2 linked regions of the Drosophila melanogaster genome follow. The protein of the gene in region 1 interacts with the protein of each later gene in a pairwise test. Each region holds a gene or a part of one and is shown on either strand. Other genes may lie near its edges.

Evidence for each region.
Region 2: the proteins of RhoGEF4 (region 1) and CG4853 interact in a two-hybrid assay, tested with the Drosophila melanogaster proteins (one large-scale study listed by BioGRID).

Annotation. Positions count from the first base shown.
Region 1 is NT_037436.4:7,320,301-7,325,037, forward strand, and holds RhoGEF4 (Rho guanine nucleotide exchange factor 4), read right to left. Parts: upstream 3,112-4,737; 5' UTR 3,011-3,111; coding exon 2,878-3,010; intron 2,848-2,877; exon of another isoform or gene 2,813-2,847; coding exon 2,255-2,812; intron 2,198-2,254; coding exon 1,644-2,197; intron 1,585-1,643; coding exon 886-1,584; 3' UTR 799-885; downstream 1-798. Other genes in the region: CG8607 (uncharacterized protein), read left to right, coding at 1-64, 128-796; Rint1 (RAD50 interactor 1), read left to right, coding at 3,428-3,568, 3,624-4,451, 4,510-4,735.
Region 2 is NT_033778.4:17,512,393-17,517,945, reverse strand, and holds CG4853 (uncharacterized protein), read right to left. Parts: upstream 3,730-5,553; 5' UTR 3,530-3,729; exon of another isoform or gene 3,367-3,529; 5' UTR 3,209-3,366; coding exon 2,417-3,208; intron 2,362-2,416; coding exon 1,624-2,361; intron 1,562-1,623; coding exon 1,418-1,561; intron 1,362-1,417; coding exon 1,156-1,361; intron 1,092-1,155; coding exon 842-1,091; 3' UTR 501-841; downstream 1-500. Other genes in the region: APC10 (anaphase promoting complex subunit 10), read left to right, coding at 35-483; CtsK2 (cathepsin K2), read right to left, coding at 4,191-4,896, 4,962-5,170, 5,231-5,553.

The sequences.
Region 1 (4,737 bases):
CAACTGGAAGCAGACAATTGAGAATGCCATCTACGAGGCGAATCTGTATAAGAAACACCAACTGGTAGGATGTACATACATAAGTGATATTCCATGCTGTTTAAACTGACGGCAAGTCCTTTTGCAGGATGCCGTGCTCATCGAGAACATGCACGACATTCCCTATGTGCCGGAGCGTCTTCTTGGCGCCGAGATAGTCGCCTGCATGACTCGGCTGGGACGGGCGGTGCGCGAGGTGATCCCCCAGGAGATTCCGTGTGGTGTCCAAGTGCTCGCCTGCGGCAATAAACAAGCACTGGCCATTGCCAAAGCCAGTCAGCTGCAGTTTATACGCGCTGAGGGATTCGTCTTTGGCCACGTGGCGGATGAGGGTTTCACGGATGCCTGTGCGGGCGATTTGCTGCGCTACCGGAAGCTCATCGATGCCGAGGATGTGCTCATCTTCACGGATCTGAAGAAGAAGCACAGCTCACATGCCATAACCGCCGATGTCAGTCTCTTGGAAACGGCCCATGCGGCAGAGTTCTTCATGACCGATGGTATCATCATTACGGGTACAGCGACGGGTCATGCAGCCAGTCCCGAAGATCTGCAGCAGCTATCCGGCAGGGTTAAGGTTCCCCTGATAATTGGCTCTGGGGTGACCAGGGATAATATCGACAGTTACTACAAAGATGCGCACGCAGTGATAATTGGGTCGCATTTTAAGCGAAATGGCAACTGGCTGGAAGAGATCAGTGAACCAGCTGTGGATGAATTCATGCAAAAGATTTGCCAACTGCGACACTCGAAATGATTATAATTGTTAATGGATTTATTGATGTGTATAAATGTTGTAAACGATGATATATGTTTGTATACGATTTAGTTTGATGTCATCTAGTTCTAGAATAGATTAGCAAAGAAATCATAAATCCGCTCACGCAAAGATGTGGGTTTTAGGGCGGAGGACGACTCGCTGGAGAAAGCAAAAGGCTTCTCGACCAAAACCGGAGACACTGCATCCAAGGTGTCGTCGAACTTGACGCGCTTTTTCTGCGGCGGCGTGCAGATCTCCTCATGACTCTTTAAATGCACAGGGAACATATTGTCCCCGTTGAACAGATCCTCTCGCTTTACAAATGTTGGTATGGTGTTGTCCACATTGTGGGCCCTGAAATACGATTTGGAATCGGAGTAGCGACTGGCAAAGCCGTAGCTTGGATCGTGATCATTGTTAGGCGCCGGTACATTGCTGCGTTTGAGGATGCCGCGTACATTGGCCACCTTGTCACCGGCAGCAATCTTTTTGTACAACTTTGAGATGCGGTTCTCCTTGCTGGCGGTGGCCAGCTCTCCAGGCCTTCCCGGCTGGTGGCGCATCTGCACTGCCGGAGGCGGTGGAGGAGCTGGTGGTGGTGGTGCAACACGTTTCATGGAAACAGAGGAGGAGGAGGAGGAGGAGGCCTTTCCCATTGGATTTCCATTTGGAGCCCTTAAAATTCCACTGGCCACTTTTCGCTTTCGAGAAAAGCAAGCACTGTCCTCGGTCTCCTCTTCGGAATCCGTGCTGCGATTCTTATTGCGGAAAACCGTATCATATTCCTATAGATTATTTAGAAACATGAATGTTTATCTTGTAAATGTGACTGTTTGGTACTTACGCATTTGCGCTTATTGGGACTCAGTACATAATCAGCTCCGAACTTCTTCATGTCCTTCTTGCGTATGGGCGTTCTTTTGCTCGAGTCCTTTCGCAGTGTCTTTCGGCACTGAACGTGCAGATCGATGGCATCGCGGATGAAGCCCACCCAAGTGCGCGACAGCTGCACATCGCCGCTACCGAAGATTATGCCATCACTTTGGCAAGTAAGCTTAAAGTTGCCCGGCAGCATTTCGTACACTTTGCATTTTTTCAACGGAAAAATACAGCAACACTCCAGTGAGTTTTCCACAACGGTGTTGGGCGCACGTTCCTTGATCATCTTGCAGTACATGAAGATGTCGGACATGAGAACACAGTAGCGCTTGATTTCCGTGCCCTTGTGAGTGATCTTCTGCAGTACACCCTCCTTGATTACCCGTCGCGAGGGCTTCACAATGTTCGGTGTGCGATTCACCAAAGAGTTCTGCAAATGAATCAGATACTGGGTAATTTCCTGCTCCTCCACACAGGTGTTTATGTGACTGGCGGTGGCCTCGATCTCCTTGACGGATTCTGTAAGGATGAGCGCAATTATTCGATATCTGATTAACATTAACTTCAAGATCATACCTTTCAACAACTTATAGTCAGCATCTGCGGGACTCGTGTAGAGCAGTACCTGCTCCAGAAGAAGCTTATACCGCGGTACCCGCTGGATGGGCACAATCATCAGCGAATTTAGCTTGCGTTGCACCTCCGGACGACTCTCGGTCTGCTCCAGAAACTTTCGGAACACCGGATTCTTGCTGATCAAATCCTGGATGATGAACAGAGCTCCGCGGTAGTCAAAGGCGTACACCGAGTACAGTTTGAAGAAAGGAGCCATTTTCAGGAATGCGTGCGCAACATTCTCCATGTTCGCCTCCAGTTCGCGCAGGAATTCTCCGTTAAGATTGTGAATCATCTCGATTTGACCGAAGAGCAGCGTGTGATTGGAGCAATCGATGATAGCCTGTTCCTTCAAGGGACGCACAAAAAAGTTCATCAGCAGCTCCAGCTGCTCCAGATACGATTTCTCCGACGAAATAATCTCCTGGATGGCCTGGCGACGGAAACCCAATCTTTTTCCCGCGTCCGGATTGGGGGAGCCAATCGGACTGCTGTTGTTGCTGTCCAGCATGGAGCAAACTGCATGAACCGAATGGTCACAATTAGTTGTTGAACACCTGGCGCCGCCTTTGTGTGCTGCTCACCTTTCCTACGCGACTTGGCAGTTAGAAGATTCCGCTCCTGCAGCACCTGCCGCAGTTCCCGGCTGAAGCTGAGAGGTGTTTGTGGCGAGTGAATGAAGCCATTCCCGTATCCTTTCTGCCTGGGCGTAAACATTTTCCAATCGACTTTCTGGAAAGAAGATCCAAAAAGAAAACGACGCCACACCTGTTCAATTTGAACAATGCCGCTTCTGCAGTGTTACCGTTTGTTAGTGGCAGCCACACTGGAAAGTGTAAGACCGCATTGGCGAGGGGAGATTGAAGAATAAGAAAAAGTTAAGCAAACTATAATATAATCTTGTCTATTTTTGTAGCTTTCTATTCATCTTGGCTGTGGTTATTATAGATCTTATAAAAATTGTAATATTAAATTAATTTCATTTAAAACTTTTGTGCCCGCGTATGCGTTGCACCAGTCTAGCCTATTGTATTGCGACATGGTCACACTGGCTAAATTATTTATTTTTTATACGTGGTTCGTGGCCCGTTTAGCTTTTAATTTAAATGTTGTTTTAGCTATTGCTGCACCGAAATGCATGCAGAACTCAGCGAAATGGAGTTGCGCATAGTGGCGCGACTAAACGAGGAGATCGGAAAGGATGCCAGCCAGCTACACCGGGCCAGCCACCTCGTTAGCCACTACAAAAAGCACCTCCAAGTTTTGTCCCAAACGGTTGGACGAATATCTATCTATCTAGATCATGATTTTGATCCATATATTTCAACAGCTCGACTACGAGGATCCCCAGAACGTGTCCTGCTACAAAACCGCCTTCCAATGCCAGCAACAGGTTTGCGAGAGCATCGACTTCGAGCTGGAAAAGCTGGCTCACTTCGAGGACAAGCTGAAAAGAAAGCTAAAGGAGTGCCAGCCCGTGCTTGAGGGAGTGGCAGAGGATTTAGACAAGGTGCGACAACTGCAGCGTTTGCAACAGTATCTGCTCCTGGTGCAGGACATTCAGGAGATAAGCGCTGCCCTAGGCAATGCCATCAATGGCAAGGACGAGGACAAACTGGTTAATATCTACCTAACCCTCTACGAGGGCAACGACTGCGAGCACAGCGTAGTGGGTCGCCTGCATGCTGTGCAGGCACAGTCGCTGAAATCCTTTGCCGAACGCACTGCCATCTACTGGCACAAGCTGCTCCTCAAGCGCCTGTCCAGCGCATTCGAGGCTGTACTGAAGAGCATGCGCTGGGCGCATCTAGAACAGCAGGCCCTTAACTATTCGTCCGCACGAGACACTGCCAAGGCGCAACTGCTAGCGGAGTACATGTTCCTCATCAAATCTCCAGCCGAAGAGCGGGCGCCACTGCAAAGCATCACGCCCAGCATCGTGTGCCAGCCCATCAACCGGGTGGTGCAGCTCCTATTGGCGCCGTATCGCCAGCGTTTCCAATTTCACTTCACAGGCACCAGACAAACCAATAGATTAGACAAGCCCGAGTGGTTCTATACGCAAATTCTCAACTGGGGCAAGGAGACGCATTTCTTTGTAGGCAAAACATTTCAGCCAGCTGCCATTAAAGCGGGTAAGCTGGACTACAATCTCAGGGTAAGTGTCTCGGTGTCTTACCAGACCACTCAAAATTCTAATTGTGTTACTCTTTTAGCTGGAGTTTATTCGAGGACTGGTGCAGTTAGCCATTGAAAAGTTGGCGGTGGACATAGAACAGATTGCCCAGGACCAGATACTATTTGCCCATCTACTTGATGAGACGCTGGCCTTCGAATCCGAGTTACGGGAAACATTTGGGTATCCGGCTAGTTTTCCCAGCGCGATTTCTGTAATCACACAACCCATGTATTTGCTACGCTGGATTTCACTGGAAGAACGATGT
Region 2 (5,553 bases), on another chromosome or scaffold:
CCTTACATATTCTACAATTTTCTTTGGCCTTCAGGATTTGGTGTAGAGCGTTTGCGAGACAACATCATGGATACTTATTGGCAGTCGGACGGTCAGCTTCCCCACCTGGTCAACATTCAATTCCACAAGCGTACGAACATCAGTCAGATTTACATATACACGGATTACAAGCTGGACGAGAGTTACACGCCATCAAGGATCTCCATACGATCTGGAACGAACTTCAACGACTTGCAGGAGCTGCAGGTGATGGACCTGACCGAACCCACCGGCTGGGTGCAGATACCCATTAAGGATGGGAACGTCAAGTCCATACGCACCTTCATGCTTCAGATTGCTGTGATCTCGAACCACCAGAATGGCAGGGACACCCACATGCGCCAGATCCGCATCCATGCGCCCGTCGAGGGCAAGCACTATCCTCTGGAACTGTTTGGCAAGTTTGGAACGGTCGACTTTCAGAAGTTCGCCACCATTCGTTAGGGAAAACTTTGGGATTTATCGAAGTCTTTTATTTTTATGTATTTTTCGGGGTATATAACTGCTAAAATACAACATTTAAAACATTACTTTAGTAATTTTATGCATATTTTTGGTGTTTCTAATTAAATGCCCGTCACTTGTATATATATAATTCGAATGCAAATAAATATATACCGTCGTCTAAGCTTAAGTACAAATTAACAAACACAGTGGAAGTGTAAGAGTTATTATTGTTACTGTTTTATCGCGATACAAATGCAAAATGTGAAAATGGAACGCCAACGAAAGAGTGCGAGAATTATTGCATCGTTTTGTATTGTATTGCACTATCTCGAGGATTGTCGTTAATGATTGGTGATTATGTGTTCGATTTCCTTGCAGCTTTCAACGTCTTGTAGTGATCCTTCTCCTCGCCGGTCTCGGGTGGCTCGCTTTCGTAGGAGGCCTTCATCAAAAGATCCTCGCTCAGCACCTCCGCCTTCAACAGGTAGGACACCACACTAGGCAACTGCTCGTATGGACAGTCCAATCGCTGCCATTTGCCAAAATTCCGCAGCTGGGTGCCCAAATGAAGGCACTTCTCAAAGTTTATGTATCCGTTGGCCAATCTGCAAACGGATTTGAATTCGGTTAATCTCGAAACAGAGCTCATTTATGCACAAACAAACTCACTTTGTTTCATGGCTCTCGTTAATGGCATGCAAATCTTTGAGGAACAGCGAGAAGAATGGGATGATGGCACGCTCAATTTCGTTGGCCATTTCCCTTTCCGAACGCCAAACAGCTGCCTTCATGGTGGATCTGTAGTTAAGAAAGTTCGAACTGGGATCCATTTGATGCTCCAAACCCTCGAACTTTGTCGTCTGCACTTTGGCCCACTATAAAAAATAGTAGTAAAATCAGACTTCACTCGTTTTACTTAACGAAAACTCACCGTTTTCTTTAGGCGAGCTATGGCAGTAAGATTCAATGCTGTTAGAATGGCCATCAAGCTGTTGAAGTTGCCTGTGTTAAAGCATTCCAGAGCTGTTTCCACCCAGAAGTCGATCATTTGTGCTCTCTGGGACTTTTTGCCCAACTAGGAACGAACGAATCATATTTTTTATTTGATTAATGGTTAATTTTTTTTTTAGTACTCACCTTTAATATTTCCGTTGCAGTCAAGTAGCTTAGCTGGTTGAACCACTGCACGTAACTGTCGATTGTCACCTGGCTGATGCAATTCGAACCCAAGGTGCCCGCCTTGGTTTGGCTTATGCAGGTCTTCAGCTCATCCTTTTCGAGGATTTCCACAAACTCCTCAAGACGTATTTGTGACAGATAGGCGTACTCGATGGCATAAAGTTGGTGAGCCAACTCGAAGGCACTGCTGCAGTTGTTTAGCACATTGTCTGTTTTGTAGACATTGGCGGCAAAGCGTTTCAGCGACTTAATACTGCTCTGACGTCCCAACGAGCTGGCCGACGATTGCTTGGTAAGCAGGTTATTTAGTTGACTTCGTCCATTTTCGTCCTTTTGCGCCAAAGCTTGGGGAATTCCATCCAAAAAAGCTGCCAATCCTTTTACATTACGCTTATTTTCCAGCTCCTGCAATAGCAGTTCATGGCTAAAGTCCCCGGGACAGGTGTCTAGCCATTCGTTCAAAAGTCGTAACACGTTTTCCTCCTCATTATCAATCTTGGCAATGATTTTGGAAAGCAGCTGGTGTGGTGGTGAAAACAAGCGGGAAGTGGTCAGAAAGGCAAACCGCAAATCCTTAGTATTATTATTGATAAGCAGGTTGACCACCGAATCCAGGTTGCCCTTCTTGGGTATGTCTTTGGCGTAAACTGGCGCTGTTTGGCAATCGAATGGCTCTGTGATCTTCAAGTGGGTGTTCTAATTTAGGTAAATTATTAGTTATTTAGCGACTGGCAAATCCGTTCAAACTTACTAGGATAGAAACCGCATCCGACTCATCTGCGGAGCTGGGAATGTCGCAGTACAAAGAGTCGGTTAAGGTGTCACGTGGATGTGACCAGGGTGCACTCATCGACACGCTGTGGAAGAGGCCATCGTGCCCGGAGTCGCAGCTGCTTATATTCGAGCTTTTGTCCCCAATAGTGGTGGATGATACAGATCCGATGACCTGATCGGATCCAGTAATAGCAGAGCTGCTGGACATAAGGGAAGCATTCGAGAAGGTTTGGTTCAGCTGCCGGCCCAAAGGATCAACTGGACGCTCGTCCGAGTCTGTGGCCTGCGATGCGAACGTGGAATTCGAAGTGGTTCGGTATTTGAGGGCATTCTCGGGAGTGGCACGCGCCAAGGCCGACTGCTGCTTGACAGGATGCCAGATCTCTTTCTGGTGCGACTGATGGTTAAAGTTTTCCTTGGTCTCCACGGTGCGTTCGTCTAGGATTTGTCCGTTGCGCGAGACCAGCACCTCCTCCGTGGTGGTCAGAGAGGACTTGACGGTCAACGAGGTCTCTACCTCGATGGGCTGTTGGGCCAATCCGGCGCGGAAGAGCAATTGATTCAGGTGCTCAACCGATGGCATCTGCCCCTCCAGCAAAGCTGCCTTTATGGCACTGGCATCATCCGCCGGCAGCCCATCCAGCTTCACCGGCACTCCGTTGACCAGCAACACCTCCTCCTGCTGCAGCGAGGATGAGGTTTCGCAGTCCACGATCTTGACATCCTTGCCGAACAGGGACTCCACAGCGTTTAGGATATCTTCGTCCATGCTTGGGGCGGGGTTATCGGGGATGGGGAAAGTGCAGACACACGGGGATCTCTGGAGAAACGTGACTATTTGGCTGCGATGGTTGTTAAATGCGTTATGACCACAGGGGGACTCTTTGGATTAGTCGCAATGCACATGCACCACTATCGCGTACATTTCTGGAAAGGAAGGGGCAAGGGGAAACCTCGATTAGCACACACACAGTGGGAGAAAGACAGGTGGCCGGGGGCTTTGGTTTCGTGCGCTCTGGTGACAACGCCCACTTTCCCAAAAGTGGGCTGGTCTCTTCTGATCAGAACATCGCTTCCGGAGCAGACACACCTGCAGGAACACTGTTGCGCGGTGGCCTTCCATCGGACGCACTGCCGCCTTTCGTCACGGCATTCCCCGCCTGCTGCTCATCAAATGTCCGCCGTTTTTTCTGCGCCTAATATAGTTTAATTCGCCAATTGACTTAATTTATTTCTATTATTGTTGTCTCGGTACAGCGATACCATCGATGTTTACACAAATTTGGCAATAATCGATATCCCCAACTGGGGAAATCATCGATTACTTGCTTTCTTGCTGTAAATATCCGCATCTGGCAACGCTTTTAACAGGTTTTAAAATGTCAAGCGTTATTTCCGTTACTATCCCCAAACATTTTTTTAATTTACCCGAATATCTAGATCTTCTTGTTTGGACATAAAGGTCTGGTTATTGTTCACATCAAATTGCTGAACTCCTCTAAAGTTCGTTTAGTGCCCAATTAACCCGTGAATAGTTTTAAATTTCCAAAAGATTCTTGTTTATTCCTCTTTAATTTGTTATCTGTAAATATTTAAGCAAAGCAATGCATTGCATTACTTTCGTTTAACTACTCTAATTTAGCAGCATTATAATTAAGAAAAGACTTTTATTTAAGAAATGGACGCAACCAACGCCAAGTCCACATCACAAACTGCACAGTAAATTTTGCCATAAATTTCGGATTCCCCGCTTAAACCACGGGATAGGAGCACTCCTCAGCAATGAAGCAGTAGTTTTTGCCGCGAGGCAGGCGGAAGTAGCCCTTTTCGCCCCAGGTGTCGTCCCAGGAGTTCTTGACGATCCAGTAATCCTGTCCTTTCTCCGATCCGTAACCGACGACCAGAATGGAGTGGTTCGGCTCGCCCTTGTTGCACTCATCGTCGTTATAGATGCCACCGGCGTAGTTCTTAAGAGTCTCCAAACCATTCACCGAACAGGCAACTGGTCCCAGAGTGGCCACCACCTTCTTCAGCTGCTCCTCGTCCTTGGGCGGAATAGCGGCGAATCCCTGGAGGGTGGCTCCGGACTTGCTGCCATCGTACTTGCACGTGCCCTTGTTGTCAATGTAGGGATAGGCCCCCTCCTGGGACACACCCTTTTGCACCTCATCGATGAAACAGAATGCGGCCTCCTGGAAGCCACCATCGCAGCCATTCAGGCCAAAGTCCTCCACCGGACCACAGTCGACCAGATTCTGCTCAGAGAGATTGGGCAGGCTGCCGGTCTTGCGGAAGGTGTGTCCCTCAATGGCACCAGTGGTGGCAAAGGCCCAACAGGAGCCACAGGTACCCTGGAATTTGACTGGTGTGACACCGCCATGCTCGCGCCAATCGAAGGCATCCGGGATGGGCTTCGCAGGCAGGTTGACCAACTTCAAACTGGCAGCAGCTCGAGCCCTGGGTGCAGATATAGAATTGATAAAATCCTATGCCGGCTGTGCAAATGGTTTGTTAGCACTTACTTAGCCTCCGGACTTCTCTTCAGACCGGTCAATTGACTAAGGAACTCAGAGTGGGTCAGATCGGCGAAGGCGTTCACGGCCTGCTTGAAGGTGTGCACTCCTTGGGCAAAGGCTGCGTTTCCGGCTTCCACCAGGTTCTTGGTGGAAGCGAAGGCACCTTCATGAAGAGCGCGATCAGCGGCGGAGAGATAGGTCTTTCCAGATTGGCTCTGCAAATCGGTTGAAGTTTTACTTCTACCTTTGAAATTGATCAATGCTGCCTATCTCACCAAGAAGTCACCAAAGTCCTGGACGTTTGAGAGCAGCGGCACCTTGGGCACAGCCTTGGCAATGTTGCCCACGGCATTCTGAACGGCGCCGGCCACATTTTGTAAAGCTCCACCCACTCGATTGTTGCCCAAGCCTCCGAGTCCACCTCCAAATCCGCCTCCGAGTCCACCTCCAAATCCGCCTCCAAATCCACCGCCTCCGAATCCCTGGCCAGAGACCACAGCCACCAGAAGTGGAAGAACCAACAGAAGCTTCATACTGATCTGCCAAAAGACGAAACTATTAGTTCCGACTGGTTTTGTAGTCGAAGGGTGAAACGGCG